Pelodiscus sinensis: one gene and its partners. The protein of the gene in region 3 interacts with the protein of the main gene of each other region in a biochemical or structural test. Links are inferred from orthologs where the notes say so. Each region holds a gene or a part of one and is shown on either strand. Other genes may lie near its edges.

What was found.
Region 1: of the proteins of MAPT (region 3) and STUB1, one has a biochemical effect on the other in vitro, tested with the Homo sapiens proteins (11 studies listed by BioGRID, with this or other methods). The link is inferred for Pelodiscus sinensis from reciprocal best matches to the Homo sapiens genes MAPT and STUB1.
Region 2: of the proteins of MAPT (region 3) and DYRK1A, one has a biochemical effect on the other in vitro, tested with the Homo sapiens proteins (2 studies listed by BioGRID). The link is inferred for Pelodiscus sinensis from reciprocal best matches to the Homo sapiens genes MAPT and DYRK1A.
Region 4: the proteins of MAPT (region 3) and APOE form a complex in vitro, tested with the Homo sapiens proteins (2 studies listed by BioGRID, with this or other methods). The link is inferred for Pelodiscus sinensis from reciprocal best matches to the Homo sapiens genes MAPT and APOE.

The regions. Positions count from the first base shown.
Region 1 is NC_134726.1:5,342,914-5,350,349, forward strand, and holds the start of STUB1 (E3 ubiquitin-protein ligase CHIP), read right to left. Parts: upstream 3,016-7,436; coding exon 2,797-3,015; intron 1-2,796. Other genes in the region: uncharacterized protein LOC102443902, read left to right, coding at 5,275-5,402, 5,634-5,727. UniProt on the Homo sapiens protein: E3 ubiquitin-protein ligase which targets misfolded chaperone substrates towards proteasomal degradation.
Region 2 is NC_134711.1:186,526,238-186,534,051, forward strand, and holds the start of DYRK1A (dual specificity tyrosine-phosphorylation-regulated kinase 1A), read left to right. Parts: upstream 1-4,802; 5' UTR 4,803-5,352; intron 5,353-5,410; exon of another isoform or gene 5,411-5,679; intron 5,680-7,814. UniProt on the Homo sapiens protein: Dual-specificity kinase which possesses both serine/threonine and tyrosine kinase activities. Exhibits a substrate preference for proline at position P+1 and arginine at position P-3.
Region 3 is NC_134739.1:7,126,196-7,133,842, forward strand, and holds the start of MAPT (microtubule-associated protein tau), read right to left. Parts: upstream 3,011-7,647; 5' UTR 2,981-3,010; coding exon 2,113-2,980; intron 1-2,112. UniProt on the Homo sapiens protein: Promotes microtubule assembly and stability, and might be involved in the establishment and maintenance of neuronal polarity.
Region 4 is NW_027465876.1:424,168-431,751, forward strand, and holds the start of APOE (apolipoprotein E), read right to left. Parts: upstream 3,007-7,584; 5' UTR 2,907-3,006; exon of another isoform or gene 2,880-2,906; intron 1,910-2,879; 5' UTR 1,896-1,909; coding exon 1,853-1,895; intron 1-1,852. UniProt on the Homo sapiens protein: APOE is an apolipoprotein, a protein associating with lipid particles, that mainly functions in lipoprotein-mediated lipid transport between organs via the plasma and interstitial fluids.

The DNA of each region.
Region 1 (7,436 bases), on a different chromosome or scaffold from region 3:
AGGACAGTTTTGCTCAGAAATCCTGCAACGTGTAATTGGGTGCAGGCCCAATCCTTGACCTGAATTATTTTAAACTGCATAACTATTTTGCTCATGAAAATTGGAACAGTGCATACTTCCCCCACACAGCTCTGCCAGTGCTGTAGAACCCTGACCTCTGTCACCTAGACCCTGGGCCTTCAAATACAAAATGCCAATGCACTTCTTGATGTGCTGCACCATGGACAGTTCCAATCCTTCCTCCTTGTTTTGCCAGTTCACCACATTCCTTGCCACATGAGCTCCTCGGTGTTCTAGCCCTGGACTTCCACTTATCCTGATAACGCACCACCGTCCTGACCTGCGGCGCCTGCTATTCTGGTCCTGGGTCTCTGGCTCAGCTCCACTGGCGAGTTGCAATCTTGACCTACCCCCTCCCCCAGTTATTCAAGTTTTGGATTTCTTCACTTCGCAGTGATTTGATGATGTGAACAAACATCCACAGGGGATTCTGAAGAGACCAACGCACATTTTCGCTTCTGACTCAAAACCTGAACCCAAGTTTTCAAGGTTCTAGACTACTTCTCAGACCACAGCTTGTTCAGTAAATGCATACAAGTGATGTTAATCAGCATATCCTTAGAGCTAAGTGATCACTCCTGGATTTCTAGAGCAATGAAGAGTCTTATGATGCATAATCTTGCCCAGTACATTTCCATTAGCTATTTTCTAAAGGTATGTTGTTTAAAAGTTCATCAACTAGGAATATTACATTGTGGTTACCAAGCTAATCAGAATTTGTATAGACTACACAATTAGTCTATAGGACTGCTCAGTCCCGGCTCGTGCTGAGTCCAGCAGCCCCTATTATCAAGATGGACCAGCTAACAAGCGTTAGTAGTTACCATGAACCAGCAGCCAGGTTGAGATACAAATATACACTTAAGAAGCAATACCACAATAGCCAACTACAAAAACCATGAATCCTACATTGAGACAGGCTAGATGGTGAAAGTCACCCAAATGAAGAGTGTATTACAGACAACACAGAGCAGAGATTTGTTTAGGATGTGTAAGTAAACATAGAATAGCCAGACTACACAAACTGGCTTTTGTAATGCTATCTTCCTAACGAAACAGAGGAAATACTTGACTCAGCTAAATACCAGGTGGGGCACAGAGACTATGCCAGACCTAGTAGAAAAGCATCCCAAACAGTAATCACTGAACATTAGCATGCCCTATGTGCAACTCAGTTCTGCAGAGCCAGAGAGAAAACAATCCCCATGGGAGAGCCATGTTAGAAGCAAAGAATTTTATTCCCAAAAGGACATACCCTTAGGAACCCAAATCCCCAAAAGCTATAGTCAGGAAAGTCCTAGATTATGGCTTTGCTGGTAAACCTGTAATCTGGACCACATCCCAAGTTTAAGTGCTGCCCTAGCCAGAGCTCACTAGCAGCGCAGTGCAGTATTATGTAGAATAAGTCCTTTGGATGACATTTTAAACTAAGATCCTCCCTGCCCATACCTAGTGGATATGGGAGTGGAAACCAAGGCTCTATTGACAAGTACTTCAGTTGTAAGGCTAAAGATCCCATATGGTGCTTTGTGGAGAGACTAGGAGATCACCAGTGTCCTGTGCAACCCCATTCAGCATCACATACACCTTCCAACGTCCCCAGCTGTTTGCTTTTGCTGCCAGTTTCGGTAAGAGATTGACAGGGTCTCTCTGACCCTCCCCACACTGAATGGCGAGTGGGCTGCTGACAGCAGTCTGGGCCCCCATCCAGAGGCTGCGTGTGCCGGAGTGGGAAACATTCTCCAGGCCACCTGTTCCCAGGAGACCCTGTCACCAACACAGCAAGGGGGGGGAGGGAGGAGGCCTGCGGGGAAGCAGGGACAGGAGCCTGGATCCTTCCAAAGCCGGGCGGGGGTGAGGAGGAGACAGAAGCGCTAAGGCAGGAACTGAGTCCTGCAGCACGGCCCATGCGGGGCGAACCCGCCCAGCCGCCGCCCCCGGAGGGGAACTGCCCCCCCAGACAGCTCAGCCCCCCCCAGCCCCACAGGCTCTCCCTTGCGGTGGGGGGCAGCCCTCCCCAGCAGCGCCGCCCAGCTCCGAGCTAGGCCTCAGCAGGGTCCTGTAGCCCCGCTCCGCCCGCCGGGCCGCAGACACCCCCCCCCTCCTCCCGACAGCCCCCCCGGCCCGCCCCCTCGCGACACCCCCCACCTCCTCCCGACAGCCCCCCCGGCCCGCCCCCTCGCGACACCCCCCACCTCCTCCCGACAGCCCCCCCGGCCCGCCCCCTCGCGACACCCCCCACCTCCTCCCGACAGCCCCCCCCGGCCCGCCCCCTCGCGACACCCCCCACCTCCTCCCGACAGCCCCCCCGGCCCGCCCCCTCGCGACACCCCCCACCTCCGCCCGACAGCCCCCCCGGCCCGCCCCCTCGCGACACCCCCCACCTCCTCCCGACAGCCCCCCCCGGCCCGCCCCCTCGCGACACCCCCCACCTCCGCCCGACAGCCCCCCCGGCCCGCCCCCTCGCGACACCCCCCACCTCCGCCCGACAGCCCCCCCGGCCCGCCCCCTCGCGACACCCCCCACCTCCGCCCGACAGCCCCCCCGGCCCGCCCCCTCGCGACACCCCCCACCTCCGCCCGACAGCCCCCCCGGCCTGCCCCCTCGCGACACCCCCACCTCCGCCCGACAGCCCCCCCGGCCCGCCCCCTCGCGACACCCCCCACCTCCGCCCGACAGCCCCCCCGGCCCGCCCCCTCCCGACACCCCCCCTCCCCCCGGCGGCCCCCCACTCACGATGGCGCGGCCGTAGCAGGCGGCCGCCTCGGGGTACTTGCGGCTGACGAAGAGCCGGTTGCCCTGCTCCTTGTGCTCCTGGGCGCTGTGGCTCTTCTCGGGGCTGCCCCCGCCCAGCCCGGCCGCCGCGCCCCCCCGGGGCCCCCCGCCCGGCCCCCCGCCGCCGGAGCCGCCGCCCAGCCCCGGGCCGCCGCTCTCCTTCTCCTCCTTCCCCTTCATGCCGCAGCGCTGCCGAGCGGGCCCGGCCGGATCCCAGCGGCCTCGCACTGCGACAGCCCGGCCGGCCCGCCTCCGCCCCGCCCGCAGCCCGCGGGACTTCCGGCGGGGCCGGGCCGGTGAGAGGGGGCGGGCGCTGGGAGGGTGAGAGCGGGGGGGGCTGAACGCGTCTGGGGGGCGAGGGGAGGGGGCGGGGCGAGAGTGGGGGGCTCGGAGGGGGAGGGAATGAGGGGGCAGGATGGAGGGGGAGGGAGCAGGGGGATGTCGTGAGGGCGGGGCTCGGAGGGGCAGGATGGAGGAGGAGGGAGCAGGGGATGTCGTGAGGGGGGGCTCGGAGGGGCAGGATGGAGGGGGAGGGAGCAGGGGGATGTCGTGAGGGCGGGGCTCGGAGGGGCAGGATGGAGGGGGAGGGAGCAGGGGGATGTCGTGAGGGGGGGCTCGGAGGGGCAGGATGGAGGGGGAGGGAGCAGGGGGATGTCGTGAGGGCGGGGCTCGGAGGGGCAGGATGGAGGGGGAGGGAGCAGGGGGATGTCGTGAGGGCGGGGCTCGGGGGGGCTCGGAGGGGCAGGATGGAGGGGGAGGGAGCAGGGGATGTCGTGAGGGCGGGGCTCGGAGGGGCAGGATGGAGGGGGAGGGAGCAGGGGGATGTCGTGAGGGCGGGGCTCGGGGGGGCTCGGAGGGGCAGGATGGAGGGGGAGGGAGCAGGGGGCTGTCGTGAGGGCGGGGCTCGGGGGGGCTCGGAGGGGCAGGATGGAGGGGGAGGGAGCAGGGGGATGTCGTGAGGGCGGGGCTCGGGGGGGCTCGGAGGGGCAGGATGGAGGAGGAGGGAGCAGGGGATGTCGTGAGGGGGGGCTCGGAGGGGCAGGATGGAGGGGGAGGGAGCAGGGGGATGTCGTGAGGGCGGGGCTCGGAGGGGCAGGATGGAGGGGGAGGGAGCAGGGGGATGTCGTGAGGGGGGGCTCGGAGGGGCAGGATGGAGGGGGAGGGAGCAGGGGGATGTCGTGAGGGCGGGGCTCGGAGGGGCAGGATGGAGGGGGAGGGAGCAGGGGGATGTCGTGAGGGGGGGCTCGGAGGGGCAGGATGGAGGGGGAGGGAGCAGGGGGATGTCGTGAGGGCGGGGCTCGGGGGGGCTCGGAGGGGCAGGATGGAGGGGGAGGGAGCAGGGGATGTCGTGAGGGCGGGGCTCGGAGGGGCAGGATGGAGGGGGAGGGAGCAGGGGGATGTCGTGAGGGCGGGGCTCGGGGGGGCTCGGAGGGGCAGGATGGAGGGGGAGGGAGCAGGGGGCTGTCGTGAGGGCGGGGCTCGGGGGGGCTCGGAGGGGCAGGATGGAGGGGGAGGGAGCAGGGGGATGTCGTGAGGGCGGGGCTCGGAGGGGCAGGATGGAGGGGGAGGGAGCAGGGGGATGTCGTGAGGGCGGGGCTCGGGGGGGCTCGGAGGGGCAGGATGGAGGGGGAGGGAGCAGGGGGCTGTCGTGAGGGCGGGGCTCGGGGGGGCTCGGAGGGGCAGGATGGAGGGGGAGGGAGCAGGGGGATGTCGTGAGGGCGGGGCTCGGGGGAGCTCGGAGGGGCAGGATGGAGGGGGAGGGAGCAGGGGATGTCGTGAGGGCGGGGCTCGGAGGGGCAGGATGGAGGGGGAGGGAGCAGGGGGATGTCGTGAGGGCGGGGCTCGAGGGGGCGAGAAAGGGGGACTAGCAGGGGCTGGGGAGATGGAGGGAGCCAGAAAGGGTCAGGGGGCTGGGGGTGAAGTGGAGGCAGGGAGATGAAGTAGGAGGCTGAGATGGGGGATCTGGGGGGGTGAGGGGGCTGGGTTATGGAAGGGTCACGGAGCTGACTGGAGGGAAATGGAGGGCAGGGACATGGAGTGGGGGTCTGGAAGGCAAAGGGAACTAGTGGACAGGAGCAGGCCCAGGGTGTTGCAGGGAAATAGAGACATGTGGGGTGGGGTTGTTTATATGGATCAAGGAAAGTTGCAAATTCCCTGGGTGCAGAGAGCCAGGCTTAGAGGCCATGCCTTAGGACCATAGGTGTGAAGAGGTGTAGAGGCCTGCTGAAGAGCAGGGTGGGTGAAGAGCTAGGAGTAGAGAGAGGAGAGAGAAAGCGGACAGGGCCAATAGAAAGTGAAAGAGGTGAAGAGGAAGGATTTGGGGTTTGCAGACACAAGAATCAGCATTTTCTTCCCGTAAGGTCTCTGCCCTGTATTTCTACAAGCATCAGTTTTGTTTATCTTTCTCTTGTAGATCTTTGTGTCCCAGAGCTCTGAAACATGCCACCAAGAGGAGGGTTGTATGATTGTGAAGACCCCATCTACTGGAGGACAGTATTTGGTGTCTACTGGGATGTACTCAAAGCCAAAGGAGGCAAGCAGAAAAAACTTGCCGAGTTGGATAAGTGGTAAATCTTCCAGCATTTAATATGGCTTCTTTTGTACTCTATGGTATGAGGAGGTGCACGGTTCAGTGTAAAATCCCTGCCAACCCAACTCCATTAGTAACAGCCGGGTCTTCCAGAGCATGAGCTTCCTCACAGCAGTGCTCTGTCAGTACCAGCTGCAACTCCAGCAGCATGAACATCTGGGTTCAAGAAAATATTTTGACTCTGTCTACCAACGGATTTTTGTTTCAGGTATCAGGAGGAGCTGCCAGTTGCTATTGCAGGGAGGAAAGAAAAATATCTGACACGGGCTGAAGTAGTGAAACTCATGGAATGGAAACTAGCAGTAAGTAGCTTTCCCAGGTGAATCATTGTATGTAACATTTCAGCCATACAATCAAAGTGTGTGTAGTGGCAGGGAGGGTCTAAGGCTACATTGCAGCTTAAATTGGCAGAAGTGATGTTGCTTGACTGTGTGAATTAAACATCCCCTTGAAAGACATAACGTATGCCAATTTAAGCACCGGCACGGTGTCAGTGAGAGAATTGCTACCAAGACTTGCAGGGACTGGAAAAATTAAACTCACGAGCCATAGAGCAACTACATTGGAGAGCTTACAGTAGTGCAGCTGCACCAGTGCCACTTTAAGCTCTATAGTGTAGTCATAGCCTCAGAGCCTTGAGGTCTGTAACATTTTCAATTACTGGTGGTTTTGAACTCTGATGATTATATTGATTTTTTTTTTAAACATATGTGGTAAGAGTCTGATGCTGTCAGCCTTAAGGCCTCTGTAGTTGGCATCTATTTAATTCTGCTGTTCCTATTTTAAAGGTGTTGCTGTTAAGGAAAAAAAAAATCCAGTCAAATCCTCTGCTCTTTCTGAACCATGCGTGATGTAAGACAGCGGGAGGGGCAATGGCATCTTTATTCTGCCTTTGTGACTCCTTAATTGAGGGGTTATTGTGGGCCCTGACAACTTATAGGAGCCTCAGGCTTGCTGTAATTGCAGTCAGCTACCCTCAGCCCTAAGGGATTGACCCAGTAGTCTGGGATCACAGAAGCATGTGACTTTTCTGCCACATGCAGTTGCTCAGGCTATGTCTTCTACACAGGATCTTACAGTGGAGAGGGTACAGTGACACTATGCCAGGTAGCAGCCTCCTCACCTTTTGAGTCTGGGGATTTGACCCCCCTTATTTAAAAGTTATACTGTTTGCCTCAGTAATAACATCTTAGAATATCAGAGCAGGAATATTTTTTAATCCGAGGTGTCCTGTTTGTTTAATTTTTACATTTCACACAGCTTGGTAATTTTCCTCTCACTAGCATAATAGAGCTGTGCGTGTGTTTCCACTAAAATAGAGGAACTATTATTTCAGTCAGATATATATGTAACATTAATACTGTACACAACTCTTTACAAACAAGGAGGCGGGCTCCCTGCTGCATAATACATTGCATGGGCTGTTGACTCACAGGAGGAGGGGTGGGGAGAAAAGTCCAAGGAAGGAGAGGAGCAGGAAGAAGGTAGGGGGCAAGGTGGAGGAGATGGTGGAAACTAAAGGAAGAGACTAGTGGTGTTGTAATGGAACAGAGGCTTGAAAGGGTGGTCAGAGGAGCACATGCTTAGGAATAGAAGAGGAAACCCCTGAAGCGATGGAAGGAGCTGGGAGCGATGTGCTCAGACTGTGGGTGAGGAAGTTGTAAATCCCACTCTCCAACAAAACCAAATGTTGCTGGAAATTTTTTTTTCATAAGGTCACGCAACACCTTGTCGTCCCCCAGAGCCTCAGTTCTGAGCCTCAGCCCACTTGGCCGTCTCCTTTTCAATAGTCATACAGCTCTTTCCTTCTTTGGACTATGCTTGAGGATAATGATCCCCTCCTGGGTTGTCTTCCTTCCAATCCCAAAACATCTCAACCTGGAAAATGCCAGGAAGGACTCTGCCTCTGGATCACTGGTGGCCCACAGACCGTGGCTTGGGAACCTCTGCTAAAAAGTAATAACCCTGGAAGAACTCATCGTACTCTTTCCACCATATGGGAAGGAACCAT
Region 2 (7,814 bases), on a different chromosome or scaffold from region 3:
TTTCTATTTTTGTGTCTATTTATTGTCCTTGTTCCACTTCCTCCTCACCAATCTCTCTCCCAGTATCCTATTTCTGCTTTCTCATGTACTTTGGTTGCCAATCCTCTGGGTTTTGTCAGAATCAGACTCTATCTTCCATAGGCTTCTAAAGCCAAAACAGGAGATTTTTACACCACTAAAAGTGCAGTGGCACCGCAGGGGTAAGGCAGGCTCCATACTTGCTTTGCCACTATTGGAAGCAACCAGTGGCTCACTGCAGTCCTTGGCAGGGGAGCCAGGGATCTCCACATGCTGCTCTCACTCTGAGCACCAACTCTGCAGCTCCCATTGGCCAGCAACTGCAGTAATAGGAACGGTGGGGGCAGCCACTGCAGGCAACATGCAGGCCTGTGGACAGAGGCCATTCCTGCACACTCCCCCCGCAGGAGCTTTCAGGACCAGCATGGAGCCAGGGAGCCTGTCTTAGTTTCACTATGCCACTGACTGGGAGCCACCTGAGGTAAGTGCTACCTGGCTGGAGTCCCCACATCCTGAGCCCCCTTCCAGAGCCCAGACCCCCTCCTGCACCAGACCCACTGCCCAAGACTAGAGCCCTCCCATCCTCTGAACCACACCCCCTCCTGTACCCTAACCACTTGCCCCAGCCCACTGAAAGTGAAGGAAGAGTGAGGTAGGGGAAATGGAGTGAGCAGGCAGGGCCTCTGAAGGGGCATACTGGGGCAAGGAGTCTGAGTTTGTGCCATTAGATCAGTTTCTCCCAACCAGGGTTCTGCGGAACTCTGAGGTTCCGCAGACCATGGTCAGGGGTTCCACGAGAAATCATGGTATAAATAAATACAAATTTTGAAATACTGTGAACAATTCCAAATATCCCTCGAAATATCGCAGGAATTTTTGTCCGGCAATTGGCAATACTAGAGTAATCTTCGTAGGCTACCAACTGCCTCTTTGTTTTGGTCAGTTTGTATCTAAGGTTATATTTAGTTGTATTGTGCCTGCCCTTCCACTTACCAGAATTCTCTGCATTTAGCAGTAATGAATTGCACTCCCCACTGTCAACTATTTTTGACCACACAAACGTTTTCCTAGGTAGGGGTTCCTCGGGATATGAAAAATTATTTTAGGGGTTCCTCCATAGGAAAAAGGATGAGAATCACTGCATTAGATAGTTGTCAACCTAAATGGATTCCACCAATTTCTCCCTTACACTCATCCACTCATATGCTGGGATAGAAACTCGAATCAGATGTTACAACAGGGGCTAAACCTAGGACCCCACAGCATAGAATAGTATGTAGGAACTATGTTGTGCAGAAAAATGCCTCAGTGAGATAGATGCCAGCTCCTTCCCACTGCAGGAAAAGAAAGAGAGGAGCAGGTGCAGTCTCTGGAGGACATTATTCATCATTCTTGCACTGCAGGTTTTGGGTAGTCAGAGTCTAAAACTGATGGGGAACCTTTTTGAGTCGGGGCCACTGACCCACAGAAAAATCAGTTGGGGGGTTGCACAAAAGGAAGAAGCAAACAAAAACAAAACAAACAAAAACCTCACAGTTCACTGTGGTAGCCTCCAACTGAGAAGCAGACTCTTCCCACAATCCCCTTGTACATCAGAGCCTGGGGGTTTAAGCTAGTAGATTTTGTGGGGCCCCCAAACTCTGAGGTGAGGCTAAAAATGAGAGGTTCAGTGTGTTTGAGAGGGCTGCCTGGAAGCATGCATTGGATGTGGGGTCTGGTAGGGTGGTGAGGCTGGGCAGGAAGTAAGATGCAGAAGTGGAGTGAGGGTACAGGATCTGGGTGGGAGTGGGGGTACAGGAGCAGGCTGGAGATTGGTAGTGGAGAGTCTGGATGGGAGGGGGTTCAGAAGCAGGGTGGAAGTGGAGGGTCTGGGAAGGAGGGGGTGCAGGAGCGGGCTGGGGGTAAAAGATCTGGACAAGAGGGGGGTCCAGAAGCAGGAGTGAGTGCGGGGTTTGAGCGATGGGGGGCACTTAACTGGCACAGCTCCCCAGGAATGCACAGGGTTCGGTGTCCCCTGCTGCTCCTATTGGCTGTGAGTATAGCCAATCAGAGTAGTGGGAGAAAATTCTCCAGGCAGCAGGGAGAATGGAAATGGCAGCATGTGGAGTCATTTCTTTCCCTCCCCCAGGCAGAGCCCCTGAGTTGAATCTGGCCTTCCCTTGCCTAACTCTGTCCCCCAAGGCTCCGGGCTCCCAGCTGCTGGGGGTGGAGTCCTGGGGATCAGTTCCCCACTCATTGTCTAAAAGTGACCCTGCTTCACCCCTGGGGCCATCGGTTCCCCACCCATTGTCTAAAATGCAGGTGGGTAATAAGCAGCCTGCGGACCAGACACAGTTTCCTGGCAGGCAGGGACACTTTATTTACCTGCACATCCACTGGAATGGCTGCTTGCAGCTCTCTGTGGCTGTGAATTGCTCTCTCAGCTACTGGGAGCTGTGGGAAACTGTCCTGGCATGCATCGCTTCCAGCATCTCCCATTGGTCAGGAATAGTGATCCATGGCCAACAGGAGCTGTGACCCACTGTACCTGTAGATGTGCAGCTAAACAAAGTGTCTGGTAGTCTGCCAAGAACTAACCCTGGCAAACTGCATCCAGTCCATGGGCTGTTTATTGCCCAATGTGGTCTAAAAACAAGGATAAATACCCTACACAAGGGCTGCAGGCATAGGCAGAAATTTTGGTGATGTCCAGAATGCCAGAGCCTGCACTCTAATGGCACTCACGCTCTTCCTCCTCCAACTGTTTAAGGCTCTGAGAGGGAATTTGGGTGCTATGTGCAGGCTCTGGGTCGGCACAGGAGATACAGGCTCTGGGATGGAGTTTGGGTACAGGAAAGGTGAGGCGCTGGAGGGATTTGGGGTGCAGGAAATCTGGGGGTACAGGCTTTGGGAGGGAGTGTGAGAGTTGAGGCACAGGGAGAGCATTTGGGGGCTGAAAGAGGAATCCAGGGGCAGGACAAGCCCCTATAAAGTACTGTCTAAGGCTGCAGGAATTCTATTCTCCTAACCAAACTTGCTGATTAGGACGGGGGTCTCAAACTCACAGCACTGGGAGCCATCTGCACCTGAGCAGTTCCACAATCTGGCCCATGCACAGTTGCTGGCATGTGATTCTCTGTGGCCCTTAGATGGTGGTCATACCCTTCCCGCAAATCCAGTCCCTGCTCTGCCCTCTCCCCTCCATTGCACCCCTTACCTCAAGCCTCTTCCCCTGAGCTATGTGGCCTTGGGGATTACCAGAGGGCCTAATGCAGGGAGGAAGATGGGGTCCCCTGCACTCACTGCAGTGACAGGAGCTTTAAGAAAGCGAAGCAATGCAGAAACTGCTCTGCTCCACTGCCATCTCCCAGGTCAGCCCTGTCACTCTGCTTCACCTTAGCAGCAGAAAGTGGAGTGCCCCAATACGGGACTGGCCTGGGAGATGGGGGTAGACCAAAACAGGCTGCTGCTCAGTTCCACTCCCCACAGGTCCTATTGCTGTGGTGAATGTAGGGACAGCCTGCCCAAGTCCCCACAAGCTAACCTGAGTACCTTTGCACATACCTCCCCAAGGCCACAGAGACATACCTGCAGTGGCCCAGAGCTAACATCTGGAAGCCATTCTAGTCCCGCTGCCTTACCTGTGGTGGCAGCTGGGGATGGGGCTTAAATCAGCAAGGGGACAGTCAGAGCTAGGGGATTCATAGGAGGGGGAAGGAGTGTGCAGGGCAGCAGGTGAGGCAGGGGGAGAACATGTGCCGACCTCTCCCCCTGCAGCTCTGCCAGACTGAAGTGCCCACTAGGAAGATATGAGGACTGGCACTGGCCCTAATATAAACTGAGTTTGAAAGCCCTGGGTTATGGTCTCTGCAGCAGCCAGAAAGCTGAGAGTAGCAAATTTGCATCTGCTACCTCTTCCTTCTCCTCTCCATTTAGGGCCTCCTCCCTAGTGACTAACTGCTGCAGGGCTGCCTTCTGCTATTGCTCATCGCTTCGTCCCGCTGTAGGTTTCTTTCTTTATAGCAGCCACCGTCCATACCGAAGTTTAACTTAGCAGCTGAGGTACTGGCTCAGCTGCCCGCGGAGCCGGGCAGGCAGCGCTGCCCCCGGCTTAATCCTGCGGGAAAGCGCCGAAAGGGGGGTTTCTCCACAACTGCACGCTAGAAACTTCTTTGCCTGCTGCGGGAGGAATGGGTGAGTGCGGCGGCGGCTGCCTGCAGGCGCTCATGCGCCAGATCCCGCTGGCTCAGGCCCAGGGGCGGGGGCAGCAGAGGCGGAGGCGTCTCCCGCCGCTGTGCGCAGGATGCAGCGGCTCCGAGCCCTGCCCAGGCAGGCGCGGGGCGCGCGCGCGCGCTCCCCCTGTGTCCGCAAGGTCCCGCGCCAGGGACAAGCCGGGCTGCGGCGGCACCTCCGAGTTCGGAACGTCACACGCCGGTGGCAGCGGGGAGAGAGAGAGAGAGAGAGAGAGAGAGAGAGAGAGGCACCAGTTGCCACGGCAACCAAGCCCCGCCTTCGCCCATTTCTCCCCCTCCTCACGTCAGCGCGGCCTCCCGCCGTGATTGACAGTTACCATAGTAACAGGCTTGTCCCGTCGCCATTTTGTCAGTTGGGTTTTTTTTTTTTCAAATAATTTTCCCTTCCCGCTCGAATTATAATTTTACCCAGGAAACCGTCCTCGCGGGTTTTAGGGGCTCCGTCCCTTGGCGGCGGCAGAGAGGGGACGGGGGGAGGGGGCGGCGGCGCGGGCGGGCGCGGCAAGGAGCGGTCCGGAGAACAGCCCTGGAGAAGCCGGCTCGGAAGGGGGGAGGGGGAGGAGCAGGGGGGGCGGGGAGGGAGGGGAGAGCGGGCGGGCAAGTGAGCGAGGAGTTCCCGGGGGCTCGGTTCGGCGCTGCGCTCCCCCCGCCCGTCCGCCAGCTCCCTCGCTCGCGCCGCTGTCTGCGAGCTGCCTGGCCGGGGCTCGGGCCGCCGCCGCCACCGCCGCGTCCGGGCCCGGCTGCCGCCGGTGGCTGCGCAGGTTTGGAACGCGCGCCATTTTGTGAGCGATAGAAAATCTGCCCGGCCAGGAAGCGCCGCGGATCCGCCCGCCGGGCCGGGCCCCCCCCCCGACTCCCCGCGAGAGGGAGGCGCGTTGCAGGCTCCCTCCGGGGCCGGGGCCCCGCGCCACAACCGGGGCCCGAGGGCGGCGGGACTGGCGGAGCGGACGCGCTGCGGTGCTGGGACTCTTGGCCGAGGCGGGGGAAGCGCCGGGCTCAGCCGCTGCCGCCTCCCCGCAGCTCGCGAGAGGAGGCCTCTGCCGGGACCGGCCCCCGACGGCAGCCGGGCAGGAGAGCAGAGGCCGCCGCCGCCCCCACACGGGTAAGTGCCCTGGCGCCGGCTCCGCTAATGCCGGCCCCTCGACGCGGGGACAGCCCCGCTGCCATCTTAGAGCAAGGGGCCGGGGAGTCCCCGCCCCAGCTTGCCGGGCCGGGCCCGCTGCACCCGCGCCGCCCTGGGGAGGCTGGGTCTGGCCGGGCGGCCGCAACACCTTTTTCTCCCTGGCATGAAGGTGTTGGGCTCTGCGGCCCCCGCTGCCCGGCCAGGGCTGCTCTTGTCGTTCTGGTCCCGGGGGCTGGGAGAGCGGGGCGATGATCCCGGCTGCGGAGTGGGAAGGGGATGGCAGGACTCTCCGGCTGTGACCTTATGGTAGGTGAGATGGGTCGGGCTCTTCCGCAGCCCCCTAGGCCGGGAACGAGTCAGAAGTTGAACAGAGCAGGCACCTGTTGTGGTGGTGGGCTGAAGTGCCCCGTCTGCACTCGGGTTCGCGATTTCTGTGTCAGGTGTGGAAGTTGGAGGTGGGGATGGTGGGAATACTTGTCACGTTACTGTCATTTTGGAAAACCCACAGAGTGCACGTCTTCTAGTCGTTAGCTAGCTGCAGTGTTTGGCTGTGTTGCTAAAGAAGCTAGAAAACATACATCATGCATTTGAGATAATAAACGTTTTTGCTGTAAAGCAGCTCTTTTGCTAACAAAGTCCAAAACTGCAACTAAAGTACTGTAACTAGACATTCCAATAATGATGTGTTTCTGACTCTCTCAGCTGTGTAGTTTCTAGTTTAGTCTTTCCAAGGACTGTGTAAGGATTCTTTGATCAAGAATCTTGAATGCTGGTGCTGCTTAGCTTTCATTATTCTCCAGTCATCAGGAAAAAATCAAACGGAGGTGTTTTTAGCTAATAAATAGAGAGAACTTGTTAAAAATCGACAAGGATAAAATATATGACTTATTTGCATCCCAGAGATAACGTGCAGATAAAATGGTATGTGTTTCCAAACACTTGCAAGTATTACAGTCACTTTTAAATGGACAGTGCTCAAGGTTCTGTACAAATAGAAATTAACTATTTTTATCATTATATTGCTATCAGGTTGTTTTTTTTAACTTATTCCAAATGAAGCTTCCTTAAGAATCCGGAAGTATTCTGATAAATCCTCATTTTTGGTAACTGCAGAATACTGTTGAAATAATTATACTCTTTTGGGTCTGATGTGTTAGTAACTACATTCCAGTATTTGAATGTTAAATGTTACTAGTCTGATTACTGGTTTTCATGTGTTCAGCGAATTTATTAAATATATAAATTGTTCTGTAGATTGGTTTTGGTGTCATCAGCTCATATGAAGAGGTACCTGCAACAAGGGTGTTTTCTATATTTGAGGTTTAATGTAATTGATATAAAGTGTGCATAAGTTTTATTTTTTCTTTCTATTACTTTTTTTGGCATTTATCGTAAGTGTCTAACTTAACAGTGCTTCATACCTGTATCTTGAAGTTAATGTGCAAAGTGAATGCATCTGGTTTAGAAGTTGAATGAAAGAGAGCAATTAGTTTTATAGCTTTACAAAAGGAACAGTTTCTTATTTCTAGATACTGTACAAGTGTTTGCTAAATAAAAAGTACTTTGATATCGTTTCCAGGCTAACAAAAATATGGTAGGACACAATTTATGTCAGTAACTTTATTATATTTACTGAAATAAGATTTGTGTAGGTTTTGAACTTATCTTGTTTTTTAGTGGCCAATTTGAGTAAAGAAGAGTGAGTGAGGATGGTTTTAGTAAGTAGTAGAGGCAAGGAGATTTCTCTGATACTTGTGCTTCAAAAAAGTCCAACGACATGCCAATAGTATTCACACTATGTGTAAGGTGATAGTGATGTGGTCTGTTAAGCATCTGTCTTTTTTTTGAAAGTTTTGGGCTCTGTGTAGATGTTAGCACATGTTAGGTAATGGTCTGGACAAGATGCACTAACTTGACAAGTTTAGCCTGTATTATAAAGCAATTTAACTTGTCTAGACTAGACTTTTTAAAATGGTATGTGTTTTCTAACATGGTAGTACCCCATCTTTAAATCTTAGTCTAGAAAAGGGTTTAAAGAGAAACTTTTAACTGAATTGAAACATTTAGACTGTCTCAACAGGTGAAAGAGTTGTGAGGTCAATTATGGTAACTCGAATGAGCAAAAACAAAAAGGTAGGATATGTATATAGTGTGGTGCTTTTTGCTACAAGAATGTCTGTTTGAGAGCTTTCCTATTGAAAACTTTCCTAATTTTGTGGTGTGGGGTTTTTGTTGTGTGTGGTTGTAAATCTATGAGAAAGTAAGTAAACAAGTAGTTCTGATAAGGGGAATATGTTCTTTTTCACTGGTTATTGGAAGGAGAGAGGAATTATCTCTAGTATATATTGTGCTGATCTTTTAATAACAATTTCTGACCTGATCTGTAAACTCCTCAGAAACAACTAAGCATGCCATGCAGAGAGAATATAAGTGCAATATTT
Region 3 (7,647 bases):
GCCCCAATCCCGAGGAGCCCCCTACCACCTGCGCTTCTGCCTCTATCATGGGGTGCCAGGCGGGAACTGGTCCACAAGAGAAGCCAGTTTAAAAACCAGCTCTGAAGCAGAGGCAGCAGCACAGGGGGGCAGCAGCCCCTGTCCAGAGGAGGGGCTGGACTCCCAGACCTGGCACGAGCTGGAACTGAACCAGCCTGCCTGCCCACCAGACTCCCAATACACTATAAATGCAGAGTGGCAGCGGAGGTAGGCCCCGGACCCAGCGCGAACCAGGACTGAGCTGGGCTGCTGGCCAGCCTGCTAAAAAATGTACTGGCAGGTTGGGGGGGGAAGGACATGCATGCAGCCTATAGCATTAGCTTATCGGTTAACCAGTTAATCGACTGTACTGTCACGTCTCTAGCAGAAGAAACACGTTCGAACTCTGGATGGCTGCACCTGGTCTGGCCCCCAAAGAACTCACGTTGTGTTTTTCACGCCTGTGCACTAACTTGCAAGCCTCCTGAGCAGCCATGTTTTAGTGAACAGGCTACCTCCCAAGGTTTCCCTCGGATGAAAGGAGAAATAGCTCTCGAATGCAGAGGAAAAATGGCCTGTCACACAAGCAAAGGCATTTGTGCCCCAACAGGCTGAATCTAGGCACCTACTCTTGCCGGTTAAGCTAACCTGGTTGCACAAAGTTGAACACCTAAATGTAGCGCGACCTGATTGCAGTGCTATTAACGGAGCAGTTACATGCATCAAGGTTTCTCGGCAGACACCCTTAGGCATCTCACAGCCAAGTGTCACCTCGCTCCTCTCTAATACACCCAACAACTCCGCCATCTCTCTGGGGTGGTCTTGCACATAGTGCTGGGCCTGCAAAGGGAGGACACAGTCCTGCCTGCTGTCCTCCTCTCGCACTGTTAGAAACACTGACACGAAGGGCTGGCTCGCCGGAAACCCGCCAATGGCGAGTGGGGCACAGGGGCAATTGCCCTGGGATGTCAGCGTGCCTCTACAGAGACAGCAGAGTGCGGGGGGAGGCCGGTGCTGCCTGTCCCTTCCCCCCCACCCCACCCTGCTGCCTCTGATAGAACTGCCTCTAATCAGCAGGGCGGCACCTGAATCTCTCCTGGGAGGCCACCCAAGTGCTCAACTTACAGGGAACACAGTTCTCAGGCCTAACTTTACTTCTATTAGATACAGCAGCGTGTGTGGGGGGGAGGGGGAGAGGAGAAGGGAACAGGGGAGGCTGCCGCAAAGCAGCCTCTGTCCATGGGGAGCTCGGGCCAACCACAGACAGGGGCTGCTGCCACCTCAATCAGGAGGCAGCAGCAGGGGGAGCTGGTCTGCATGGGAAGGGGGTTTTCAAATAGATTTAGAGGCAGCAGTGCAGGGTGGCAGGAGGCTCCCCGGGAGTGGGGAAGGGTGCACACTGACTGCTGACTATGGCGTGTAACTGCTAAAATTTGATGGGGTAACACGACTGTTCGACTACACGCGATCGAACGTCCCTACTGGGCAGCTCTGAGAGCTGAAGGAGGTGAAGGTGTCGTGTACTGGGCGACAGAGGGCTGGCTGCCTCTGGCTCCGCCCCTTCCGTCTGAAGCCCCGCCCCTTTTGGGTGTATAGAGCTGGACGCCCCATCTTGCCTGGGGCCCGCAGAACGGGTCGGCTCCCCTGGCCATATGCGCTTTACTAGCAACGGCTATGAAACTATGTAGCCTGCTCTGTGTCAACGCTACTCCAGGGAGGCTAATGCCCAGAACAAGTCCCTCTCACACTTTTCTTTTATATCTATTTAGAGTGGTGGGTGAAATCAAAGAGCCTACATAGCAGCTGTGATCAACCGAAAGACACTGAAAAGAAAAGGGAGAAAAGCACAACCGGGAGCACGCCAGCATCCAAGCAAGAACTGAAGCGGAGGGTGAGGCCAATGAACCAAACCAAGGGCGAGGCATAAACTGAGGGAGAAAAGCAGCAGCACTCTCTGAATTCGTTTGGCACAAACACCTACGGCCAACTCTCAAGCAGCAGGACGCAAGGGGTGCCAGTAGAGGTTGTAGCAGCCTTGCCCCAAGCAACTCATTGGAGAAGCAAGTGCGGAGCAGGAAAACGAGATGCACACACCTTTTAAACGAGGAACCCGACTGACTTGTTTCTCTGACATGTGAGTTGCAGGTTTCTTTTTGAGTGCCTCTTGTTTTGCCATGGCCTGCACCATTCCCCCCGTCTCCTGTTGCACGGAAACGCTTCCATCTGCCACGTCCTTTTTTAACCTATCGGGAAACGTGGCTGCTTCTAGTGGAGAAGCTGAGATTTCCCTCTCCCTTATTACGTTAGCTTCCACTTCCACTTGGTACATCCTTACGGAGGGCTCCATCGGGACGACAGCATCATACACTTTCCCCGACAGCCACCGTTGAGTGTCATCTAGAGTCTCTGCCACTTTATGAGCTTCCCTGCCTTCTGCATCCACCTCTACAGCTTCCTCGGCCGCGGCTGGATGGGGAAATGCTTCAAGCATCGAGTCTTGTCGGCATAATGAGGATGGTGAACCCTGCTGAACAGTTTCGTCAATGTCGCGGTCCTCATCTTTTTCCTGCGCAGAGGCCTCTTCTTTCAATTTGCCGCTGGCATGTAAAGGAGATGGCCCCCCTTTGATACAGGAGCTGTCCCTTGGATCATACCCCACATCATCAACACCCAGGGGCGACTTTTCAAACCGAGTAGCAAGTGTCTCGCGATGGGACATTTCATCACTTGGACCACTCCGAGAGAATTCAGAAACTGCAGATGTGGCAAAGTCATCGGCCAACATTTTCCTCGCTCCAGCATCCTCTTTGCCACCACGGTCCCAGGGCGCAGTAAACAAAGTGCTGGAGATTGCCTCTTGGCTTTCTTCAGAGGCTCTGAAGTCTTCACAGATACCCAGGGGCACAGGTATCGAGGTCTCAGCACTGGCAGGGATTTCTGCTGCCTGTTCTCCAGTCTCCATTTCATACAAGTGGACAAGAGTCTCCGGAAGAACCTCACCTGATTGTTTTTCTGGCTGAATCTCCCTTGCCGCATGCTCCTGACTTCCAAGTTCCACTCTCTCCCATGGCCTTGGGGAGCTCAGCTCCTCTGTGGGGGCGAAGAGGAAGGGTAGGATATCAAGTGTGGCACAGTTAGCATAGATACGTCAACGGAAAGTCATTCTTGCAACACAAAAAAAAAAAACTTAAGAGACTTCTTGTAACCACTCCACGCTGCCATTTGCAGGAGCAAATTCAATTCTGCAACTTCTCTTGGCTTTAAAGGAATCTTGTCCCTGTCAATAGGCTTGAAACCAGAACCACTTTGCTTTGGTGATATACATGGAATCATCCATCATCTCTGCCTGCCTGCGCCCTTGCTGGGAAGAGGCAGGGTACCAACATACACATGGGATTTGCCGTAGCTGATCATGTTATCCTGTCTCCCATGCTGAAAACTCCCTCCTGCCTCAGTAATATGCTGGTGGGCAATCCGTTATGTTCTGTGCACCCCGTGGGTAGATTCTCTCCCAGCAGAGCATGCCCAAAAGGCCAGCCTTGGCTATCATTCTCTTTGCTGGCATAACTGCAGGATTTTGTAGGCCACAAAACCATCCAGTCTCTCTCATGTTACAGCGCTGGACAATGGCAGTGAAGCTCACAGGCTGGCCACACGGCAAATTAAACGTTAGTTGCTTCCGTCGGTCCAAAATAATGGTGGGTTGTGCAGCCATGTGCTCGCGCAGCACGGGCCAGAATGTAAGGGGACAGATATTCTCCTCTGCCCAAGGTTACAAATGAATTTAAATCCGCCCCCCAGCTCCTCCTCTTCTAACACCTCTCAGCCTCCCAGAATTCTACCCATCTTCCCTTCTCTAGACCACGTCTTCCTCTGCTACGTTCTCGACAGAGCGGCTCGGGTATTCTCGTTCAGTAGCCTGTCTGCATCATCAGAACCCCGGGTGTAGGTGGAGAGGATGGATGGCACAACAGAAACACCTGCCTGCGACTGCAAACAAACTGCGAGTCTGTATGTTCCGCCCACGCGCACGAGTCATCAGTACCACAACACTGCACATCCGCTCTGGAGCAGCGGGTGGTAGAATGTTCAACACACAGAACTTACAGTCACAGATGCAAAGATTTTAAGGCCAGAGGGGAACATCTGTGATTACTTAACCCAGGTCTCTACTACACACCTATCCTGGTATAACCACGTTGTTCAGGCAGTGAAGAATCCACATCCGAGTGGCGTAGTTATATTTACCTAACCCCCCGTGTAGACAGCACCAGGTCGACAGGAGTACATCTCCAGGTGACACAGTTATTGCCTCTTGGGGAGATGGAGTAACTCTGCCAATGGGAGCAGCTCTCCATGAACGCGCTAGAGGCGCACAATGGTACCGGTGCAGGGGCGACGCTGTAGCACTACACCTGAAGACATGCTCCCAGCCTGACCTCCGGCATGACACAGACCAGAGAATTGCATGCATCAAGCTCATACCTTGCAATGATGGAAAATCCACCACACCCTGAGGTAAATTGTTTCAATGGTTAATTAAAAACACGTGGCTTATTTCTACTTAGGCTCCTAGCCACGAGGTCTTTCCATGACTTTTCTAATCAAAACCGAGGTTAGGGACGCTTTTGTACTAAAATCAAAAGCATCCTTTCAATAAAAAGCAAACCGTAAAGAGAAAATTTAAAAAATGGGATACGTTTTTTAAAAATTGCAACTGAATTGGCCTTTTATCTGCATAAATCTTATGGAAAATCATTGCAGAGTCCTCAAATTCATGATCCAAGAAAGACCTAAATTTGATACTAATTGGCACCTGGCAATAAATCTGTTATCAGGCCACAGTGCGCTCCTTTAATAACCAAACGGTATTCCCTGGCACCAGTATGCTAACCAGCAAAGCTCAGAGGTGAATGGAACATACCACTAGCCCAGCCAAAGGAGAGATGTGGCCACTACATTCAATACAGTATCTACATTCCCAAAATGCATTTGTTGCTCTCAATACAGACCGAGGGCGAGACGTGATCAAAGGAGTTTGTAACATTTGAAATAAGGTTAAAAATCTGTAGATTTAAAAAGGCAGCCTCTCCCATGGAGTGTGTCTCAAGTTTCTACTACTCTTCCTCCTTCATGCTGAAGAGCAAGCTTTCAAATTCCACAGCCCCCTGCCCAAAGCAGAACCAACCCCAACTAAATCATCCCAGCCAGGGCTTTGTCAAGCCAGGACTTAAAGCCCTCTAGAGATGGAGATTCCACCCCCTCCCTAGGGAACCCATTCAAGTGCTTCCCCACCCTTCTAGTGAAATAGTTTTTCCTAATATCCAACCTAGACCTCTCCCTCTGTAACTTGAGACCATTGCTCCTCTGTCATCTGTCTCCTCTGAGAACGGCCTCTCTCCATCCTCTTTGGAAGAAGTTTAAACAAACATCTTGTGAAAAAGAACTAGCCAGAGCTGGACAGAATGGGCAGATATCTACAACTCTTCCATCACATCTCTGATACTGACTTCAAGCTTGACCTACAGCACCCTCTGCCATTTTAAGCCTCGTTCAGTTGACCACAAGAACTGCCAATCACAGAAGTGCATGATGACCCTGTTACACAGTTATGGGCAAATTTCTGTAGGAAGTAGGGTAAGAATAACTAAACTCGTTTACTTGGAAGCTGAAGATGCAAACTGGCCGGAGGTCAGGCCTGAGTTGAAAAGATACAGGAAAAATACCGACTTTTTAAACATCACTAAGTTTGAAAATACTTCTCTCAGCTTCCACAAGTTGTTGGCAAGTCTGAGAGTAGCAGCAGGCAGCGAGTAGAAAGGACCCACACCAAACAGACGGAGAAATTTATTTCACCTGAATGCCGCCGAGAAAACGATCTTCTGGAATGGGATTTACTTCACTTTATAAATGGAGCATTGTGTAAATGGAACAAGACAGAGAGCGGGAGCATGTTCCGCTTTCTGCACTTGCTGTTTCATTAGATGAAATGGACGTTTTGAAAGTACTCCAAGCCCTGGGCTCATGTTGCTCCCTCTGGATGCAGAGTTAGACCAACACTGGGCACTTTGGAAAATCCTACTCTGAAGTTTTTAGTTGCGTCTAAACTCAGCAAAGTCAAAAATCACCCTTTTGAGCCTGAGTCCTGGGAGCTAGCTGCTTCCCACATTACAGGGATTGTTTCCAAACCCAGTGAAGCGGATACCCAGTTGTGCTCTGCGTACCCACACTACACTGCATGGTGGCTAGCTTTGTTCTGTTCTGTGTAATGGAGGCTGACGAGAATACCCTCAGCACTTCAAAAGTACCCAACGAGTAGTTTGGGGAGAAGGTCAAACCAGACTTCCAGGGGGTGCCGTGTCAGGGATGTTAAATATCGGTTAATTGAACAGTCAAGTAACTAGGGTTGCCAGGTGTCTGGTTTTGAACCGGACAATCCAGTATTTGAGCTCTCTGTTCGGGAAACAAATTGAGAAAATAGAAATGAGAAAATAGAAATGTCCACTATTTTCTAAATAAGATGTAATGCAGATTGTGATGTAATGTCAAGTGTGTGTGGTATTTTTGTTGAAACCATCTGACAACCCTACAAATAACCTCATGAATTCTTACCGGTTAGTCAACTATTCGGTCGTCCCTGGGGGTGGGGCCGGCAGCAGCGCGGGGTGCCAGGCAGGCACTGGTCTACGAGGCAAGCCAGTTTAAAAACCAGCTCCTTTTGTGGACCGTCTGCTTGTCGCCCTGTGCTGCTGCCTCTGATAAAGAGGCAGCAGGCCAGGGTGGCAGCAGCACATCAGGGCGGGGGGGGGGGGGGGGGCGGGGGGGGGGGGGGGCAGGGAAAGAGAATCTGAGCTTCGGGACCCAGCACAAGCTGGAAATGAGCCAGGCTGCCTGCCTGCCCAGCTCCCAATACACTTTAAATGCAGACCCGCAGTGGGGGTAGGTATCAGACCTGGCACAAGCCAGAACTGAGCCAGGCTACTGGCCTGCCTGCTAAAATATTTACTAGTTTTGGGGTGGGGAGAAGGTGTGTCATCTAGAGCATTAACCGATAAGCTTATCGGTTAATCGACTACACTATTATATTCCCAATCTGTGTCACCATTCAAGTAAAAAATTGGACATGGTGATTATAAAGCGAAATAATCCTTTTCCTTGGGGTCAGCACTGCAGGATTCCAGATCAGCCCCCGTCTCTCACTTCACAGGAGAGTGACACTTAGGTATATTGCAAAAGGCAACTGGTGCCTGCAGGGGAGGGGTGCAGGGAGGGCCACCCAGAGGGGCAGGGAGGAGAATGTGGGGGCACCCCATTTAACAATTTAAATGTTGGCAGGAGTATAAGGAGGTGGGTGCACCTCCCGAGTGCTACCACAAGTCACCTATGCCAGGGATGAAGTGTTCAGAGTACGAGAATCTCCTCTTGGCTGACTCGTATTGTCTCAAGTGTGTTTCGCAAGTGGATTCCTCTTTGTGTCTCAGAGCCCTCAACCATCTGCTGCTCCAGACAGAGAACAAAGACTCAGAACACGTGGCCATCTACAGAAGAACAGCAACGGATGAAAAGTTGTGGTGGGGTTACCCCTACATGAAAAACCGGGGAGATGCTGAAAGCATGTTGGCCATTCCT
Region 4 (7,584 bases), on a different chromosome or scaffold from region 3:
AGACGGGGGCCCTTTGCGCCGGCCCCACCCAGACTGACCGACCGAGACGGGGGCCCTTTGCGCCGGCCCCACCCAGACTGACCGACCGAGACGGGGGCCCTTTGCGCCGGCCCCACCCAGACCGACCGAGACGGGGGCCCTTTGCGCCGGCCCCACCCAGACTGACCGACCGAGACGGGGGCCCTTTGCGCCGGCCCCACCCAGACTGACCGACCGAGACGGGGGCCCTTTGCGCCGGCCGCACCCAGACTGACCGAGACGGGGGCCCTTTGCGCCGGCCGCACCCAGACTGACCGAGACGGGGGCCCTTTGCGCCGGCCCCACCCAGACTGACCGAGATGGGCCCTGTCATCCCGGGCCCTGCATGGACCCCCACCAAGACAGGGGCCCTGTCATGCTGAGCACTGCAGATCCTGACAGAGATCGGGGGCTTCCTTGGTCCAGGCTTTGTACAAAACGCACAATAGGCGGGTTACCAGCTGAAAGGGAGCACACGATCTGTGGACGGGTTGGGGCTCGGAGTCAGCACCCCCCCCCCAGTGCTCTAACCACTGCCCCCACTGCCCTCCCAGCGCCAGGATGGACCCCAGGAGTCCTGGCTCCCACCCCCAGTGCTCTAACCACTGGCCCCCACTGCCCTCCCAGCACCAGGATGGACCCCAGGAGTCCTGGCTCCCAGCCCCAGTGCTCTAACCACTGGCCCCCACTGCCCTCCCAGCGCCGGGATGGACCCCAGGAGTCCTGGCTCCCAGCCCCAGTGCTCTAACCACTGGCCCCCACTGCCCTCCCAGCACCAGGATGGACCCCAGGAGTCCTGGTTCCCAGCCCCAGTGCTCTAACCACTGGCCCCCACTGCCCTCCCAGCACCAGGATGGACCCCAGGAGTCCTGGCTCCCAGCCCCAGTGCTCTAACCACTGGCCCCCACTGCCCTCCCAGCACCAGGATGGACCCCAGGAGTCCTGGTTCCCAGCCCCAGTGCTCTAACCACTGGCCCCCACTGCCCTCCCAGCGCCAGGATGGACCCCAGGAGTCCTGGCTCCCAGCCCCAGTGCTCTAACCACTGGCCCCCACTGCCCTCCCAGCGCCGGGATGGACCCCAGGAGTCCTGGCTCCCAGCCCCAGTGCTCTAACCACTGGCCCCCACTGCCCTCCCAGCGCCGGGATGGACCCCAGGAGTCCTGGTTCCCAGCCCCAGTGCTCTAACCACTAGCCCCCACTGCCCTCCCAGCGCCAGGATGGACCCCAGGAGTCCTGGTTCCCAGCCCCAGTGCTCTAACCACTAGCCCCCACTGCCCTCCCAGCGCCAGGATGGACCCCAGGAGTCCTGGCTCCCAGCCCCAGTGCTCTAACCACTGGCCCCCACTGCCCTCCCAGCACCGGGATGGACCCCAGGAGTCCTGGTTCCCAGCCCCAGTGCTCTAACCACTGGCCCCCACTGCCCTCCCAGCGCCAGGATGGACCCCAGGAGTCCTGGCTCCCAGCCCCAGTGCTCTAACCACTGGCCCCCACTGCCCTCCCAGCGCCGGGATGGACCCCAGGAGTCCTGGCTCCCACCCCCAGTGCTCTAACCACTGCCCCCACTGCCCTCCCAGCACCAGGATGGACCCCAGGAGTCCTGGCTCCCAGCCCCAGTGCTCTAACCACTGGCCCCCACTGCCCTCCCAGCGCCGGGATGGACCCCAGGAGTCCTGGCTCCCAGCCCCAGTGCTCTAACCACTGGCCCCCACTGCCCTCCCAGCACCAGGATGGACCCCAGGAGTCCTGGCTCCCAGCCCCCTTAGCGTGGGGGGGGGGGGGGATCTAGCCGGGTGAGGGGCAGGGGAATGGGGAAGAACTCAAGGGGCCATTTACCTGCCAGCAGGGTGGCTCCCAGCAGCACAGTCCAGACCTTCATGGCTGCAGCTTTGCCTGTGGGGAGAGAGGCCTGGGGTGAAGGAGGCTGGGGGGGGAAGAGAGAGGCTGGGGTGAAGGAGGCTGGGGGGGAGAGGGCTGGGGTGAAGGAGGCTGGGGGGGAGGCCTGGGGCGAAGGAGGCTGGGGGGGGAGAGGGCTGGGGTGAAGGAGGCTGGGGAGGAAGAGAGAGGTTGGGGTGAAGGAGGCTGGGGGGGAGGCCTGGGGCGAAGGAGGCTGGGGGGGAGAGGGCTGGGGTGAAGGAGGCTGGGGGGGAGAGGGCTGGGGTGAAGGAGGCTGGGGAGGAAGAGAGAGGTTGGGGTGAAGGAGGCTGGGGGGGGAGAGGGCTGGGGTGAAGGAGGCTGGGGGGGAGAGGGTTGGGGTGAAGGAGGCTGGGGAGGAAGAGAGAGGTTGGGGTGAAGGAGGCTGGGGGGGGAGAGGGCTGGGGTGAAGGAGGCTGGGGGGGGAGAGGGCTGGGGTGAAGGAGGCTGGGGAGGAAGAGAGAGGTTGGGGTGAAGGAGGCTGGGGGGGAGAGGGCTGGGGTGAAGGAGGCTGGGGGGGGAGAGGGCTGGGGTGAAGGAGGCTGGGGGGGAGAGGGCTGGGGTGAAGGAGGCTGGGGGGGGAGAGGGCTGGGGTGAAGGAGGCTGGGGAGGAAGAGAGAGGTTGGGGTGAAGGAGGCTGGGGGGGGGAAGAGGGTTGGGGTGAAGGAGGCTGGGGGGGGAGGCCTGGGGCGAAGGAGGCTGGGGGGGGAGAGGGCTGGGGCGAAGGAGGCTGGGGGGGGAGAGGGCTGGGGTGAAGGAGGCTGGGGAGGGTGAGGCCTGGCACAGAGAAACAAGCTGAGGTGCAGAGCCCATAGGAAGCTAAAGCAAGGAAAGCCCTTGCCCTTCTGGGCTGCTGCCCACCCCACCCACCTCTGGGCTGCCCCCCACCTGCCCCCAAACCAGCCTCCTGAAGGTTGCAACCTCTGCCTCTCCTCCTGCTGCCCCTCACCCGTCTCCTCCGGCCTGCACTACCCACCCTGTCTTTTCCCAGGCTGCCCTCAGCTCTCGATGCCTGGGCCCCACTTCCTGCCTTAAATACCCACAGCAGCAGCACGGGGGCGGGGTGGGGGCAGAGCCAGCACAAACTCGCCAAGGCAGCTGTAGGGGTGAAGGTTACTTCCCCCCCCCCCCCTCATGGAGCTGCACAGTCCCCCTTGGAGAGTGTTAACCCTCTGCTTGCCGGGGCAGGCGACAGACAAACAGACGTGCTCTCCCCTTGCCCCGTGCTGTCTGCCAGGCCTCCTGTCTCTGCCAGCAAGTAGCCCCCTCAGGGATGGAGGGGCAGGAGGCAAAGGGGAGTCGCTCCTGCCACACTCGGGGGGCAGACCCAAAGGGAGGAATCAGCCCCCAGCAGCATGTGTGTCCTGTTTGCCAAGGAAACCACAGAGAGGATCCAAGTTTAACAAGCTGGGGGGGGTGACCCTGGGGGGTGGACCTGACCCCTAGGTGTTAGGGGGGCCAAGACCTGGGGCTGAGGTTGGTTGTGTGGGGTGGTGCTGGGACCTGCTGTGGTGCCATGATGTGCCTTGTGCGGTGCTCACACCTCGTGCCTCATGTTTGTGGGGAACCCTGAGACCTCATGCTGGGTGGGGTGTGGATGAAAATTCACTACAGCCCCAGACTGTGATGTTTGGAGACCCGTGCGGCCCCCCCTTCCCCCGGCATGCATCTTGCTAGGGACCTCACTCCATGTGGGGGGCAGAGCTGTGGGAACGGATAGAGCGCTCTGCTTGCTCTGGTGCCTGCAGCTAAGCCCCACTGTAACCTGGTGGGGCCCGTGAGAGCCAGCTCCAGAGTGCACCCCGGACCCAGCGAGAGCCAGCTCCAGAGCGCTCCCCGGTCCCAGCGAGAGCCAGCTCCAGAGCGCACCCCGGTCCCAGCGAGAGTCAGCTCCAGAGCGCTCCCCGGTCCCAGCGAGAGCCAGCTCCAGAGCGCACCCCGGTCCCAGCGAGAGCCAGCTCCAGAGCGCACCCTGGTCCCAGCGAGAGCCAGCTCCAGAGCGCACCCTCCCGTCCCAGCGAGAGCCAGCTCCAGAGCGCACCCCGGTCCCAGCGAGAGCCAGCTCCAGAGCGCACCCCGGACCCAGCGAGAGCCAGCTCCAGAGCGCTCCCCGGTCCCAGCGAGAGCCAGCTCCAGAGCGCACCCCGGTCCCAGCGAGAGCCAGCTCCAGAGCGCTCCCCGGTCCCAGCGAGAGCCAGCTCCAGAGCGCACCCCGGTCCCAGCGAGAGTCAGCTCCAGAGCGCCCCCCCATCCCAGCGAGAGCCAGCTCCAGAGCGCTCCCCGGTCCCAGCGAGAGCCAGCTCCAGAGCGCACCCTGGTCCCAGCGAGAGCCAGCTCCAGAGCGCACCCTCCAGTCCCAGCGAGAGCCAGCTCCAGAGCGCCCCCCCCATCCCAGCGAGAGCCAGCTCCAGAGCGCTCCCCCGTCCCAGCGAGAGCCAGCTCCAGAGCGCACCCCGGACCCAGCGAGAGCCAGCTCCAGAGCGCTCCCCGGTCCCAGCGAGAGCCAGCTCCAGAGCGCACCCCGGTCCCAGCGAGAGCCAGCTCCAGAGCGCACCCTGGTCCCAGAGAGAGCCAGCTCCAGAGCGCACCCTCCCGTCCCAGCGAGAGCCAGCTCCAGAGCGCCCCCCCCATCCCAGCGAGAGCCAGCTCCAGAGCGCTCCCCCGTCCCAGCGAGAGCCAGCTCCAGAGCGCACCCCGGACCCAGCGAGAGCCAGCTCCAGAGCGCTCCCCGGTCCCAGCGAGAGCCAGCTCCAGAGCACACCCCGGTCCCAGCGAGAGTCAGCTCCAGAGCGCTCCCCGGTCCCAGCGAGAGCCAGCTCCAGAGCGCACCCCGGTCCCAGCGAGAGCCAGCTCCAGAGCGCACCCTGGTCCCAGCGAGAGCCAGCTCCAGAGCGCACCCTCCCGTCCCAGCGAGAGTCAGCTCCAGAGCGCCCCCCCCATCCCAGCGAGAGCCAGCTCCAGAGCGCTCCCCCGTCCCAGCGAGAGCCAGCTCCAGAGCGCACCCCGGACCCAGCGAGAGCCAGCTCCAGAGCGCTCCCCCATCCCAGGGAGAGCCAGCTCCAGAGCGCTCCCCCGTCCCAGGGAGAGCCAGCTCCAGAGCGCCCCCCGTCCCAGCGACAGCCAGCTCCAGAGCGCTCCCCGGTCCCAGCGAGAGCCAGCTCCAGAGCGCCCCCTGTCCCAGCGACAGCCAGCTCCAGAGCGCACCCCCGTCCCAGCGAGAGCCAGCTCCAGAGCGCCCCCCCCATCCCAGCGAGAGCCAGCTCCAGAGCGCACCCCCCGTCCCAGCGAGAGCCAGCTCCAGAGCGCTCCCCGGTCCCAGCGAGAGCCAGCTCCAGAGCGCTCCCCGGTCCCAGCGAGAGCCAGCTCCAGAGCGCACCCCGGTCCCAGCGAGAGCCAGCTCCAGAGCGCCCCCCCGCCCCAGCGTGAGCCAGCTCCAGAGCGCTCCCCCGTCCCAGCGACAGCCAGCTCCAGAGCGCACCCCGGTCCCAGCGAGAGCCAGCTCCAGAGCGCAACCCGGTCCCAGCAAGAGCCAGCTCCAGAGCGCACCCTGGTCCCAGCGAGAGCCAGCTCCAGAGCGCACCCTGGTCCCAGCGAGAGCCAGCTCCAGAGCGCCCCCCCCGTCCCAGCGAGAGCCAGCTCCAGAGCGCCCCCCCGTCCCAGCGACAGCCAGCTCCAGAGCGCACCCCCCGTCCCTACGAGAACCAGCTCCAGAGCGCACCCCGGTCCCAGCAAGAGCCAGCTCCAGAGCGCACCCCGGTCCCAGCGAGAGCCAGCTCCAGAGCGCCCCCCCGTCCCAGCAAGAGCCTGCTCCAGAGCGCCCCCCCGTCCCAGCGAGAGCCAGCTCCAGAGCGCTCCCCCGTCCCTGCGAGAGCTAGCTCCAGAGCGCACCCCCGTCCCAGCGAGAGCCAGCTCCAGAGCGCTCCCCCGTCCCAGCGAGAGCCACCTCCAGAGCGCCACCCCGTCCCAGCGAGAGCCAGCTCCAGAGCGCCCCCCCGTCCCAGCGAGAGCCAGCTCCAGAGCGCACCCCGGTCCCAGCGACAGCCAGCTCCAGAGCGCCCCCCCATCCCAGCGAGAGCCAGCTCCAGAGCGCCCCCCCATCCCAGCGAGAGCCAGCTCCAGAGCGCACCCCGGTCCTAGCGAGAGCCAGCTCCAGAGCGCTCCCCGGTCCCAGCGAGAGCCAGCTCCAGAGCGCCCCCCCCCGTCCCAGCGAGAGCCAGCTCCAGAGCGCCCCCCCGTCCCAGCGACAGCCAGCTCCAGAGCGCACCCCCCGTCCCTACGAGAGCCAGCTCCAGAGCGCACCCCGGTCCCAGCGAGAGCCAGCTCCAGAGCGCACCCCGGTCCCAGCGAGAGCCAGCTCCAGAGCGCCCCCCCGTCCCAGCGAGAGCCTGCTCCAGAGCGCCCCCCCGTCCCAGCGAGAGCCAGCTCCAGAGCGCTCCCCCGTCCCTGCGAGAGCCAGCTCCAGAGCGCACCCCCGTCCCAGCGAGAGCCAGCTCCAGAGCGCTCCCCCGTCCCAGCGAGAGCCACCTCCAGAGCGCCACCCCGTCCCAGCGAGAGCCAGCTCCAGAGCGCCCCCCCCGTCCCAGCGAGAGCCAGCTCCAGAGCGCACCCCGGTCCCAGCGACAGCCAGCTCCAGAGCGCCCCCCCATCCCAGCGAGAGCCAGCTCCAGAGCGCCCCCCCATCCCAGCGAGAGCCAGCTCCAGAGCGCAACCCCCCGTCCCAGCGAGAGCCAGCTCCAGAGCGCTCCCCCGTCCCTGCGAGAGCCAGCTCCAGAGCGCACCCCCGTCCCAGCGAGAGCCAGCTCCAGAGCGCACCCCCGTCCCTGCGAGAGCCAGCTCCAGAGCGCACCCCCGTCCCAGCGAGAGCCAGCTCCAGAGCGCACCCCCGTCCCTGCGAGAGCCAGCTCCAGAGCGCTCCCCCGTCCCTGCGAGAGCCAGCTCCAGAGCGCACCCCCGTCCCAGCGAGAGCCAGCTCCAGAGCGCCCCCCGCCCCAGCGTGAGCCAGCTCCAGAGCGCCCCCCGCCCCAGCGTGAGCCAGCTCCAGAGCGCTCCCCTGTCCCAGCGAGAGCCAGCTCCAGAGCGCTCCCCGTTCCCAGCGAGAGCCAGCTCCAGAGCACCCCCCCGTCCCAGTGAGAGCCAGCTCCAGAGCGCCCCCCCGTCCCAGCGAGACCCAGCTCCAGAGCGCCCCCCCCCGTCCCAGCGAGAGCCAGCTCCAGAGCGCCCCCCCGTCCCAGCGACAGCCAGCTCCAGAGCGCACCCCCGTCCCAGCGAGAGCCAGCTCCAGAGCGCACCCCGGTCCCAGCGAGAGCCTGCTCCAGAGCGCCCCCCCGTCCCAGCGAGAGCCAGCTCCAGAGCGCACCCCCGTCCCAGCGAGAGCCAGCTCCAGAGCGCACCCCCGTCCCAGCGAGAGCCAGCTCCAGAGCGCAACCCCCCGTCCCAGCGAGAGCCAGCTCCAGAGCGCTCCCCCGTCCCAGCGAGAGCCAGCTCCAGAGCGCACCCCCGTCCCAGCGAGAGCCAGCTCCAGAGCGCAACCCCCCGTCCCAGCGAGAGCCAGCTCCAGAGCGCTCCCCCGTCCCTGCGAGAGCCAGCTCCAGAGCGCACCCCCGTCCCAGCGAGAGCCAGCTCCAGAGCGCCCCCCGCCCCAGCGTGAGCCAGCT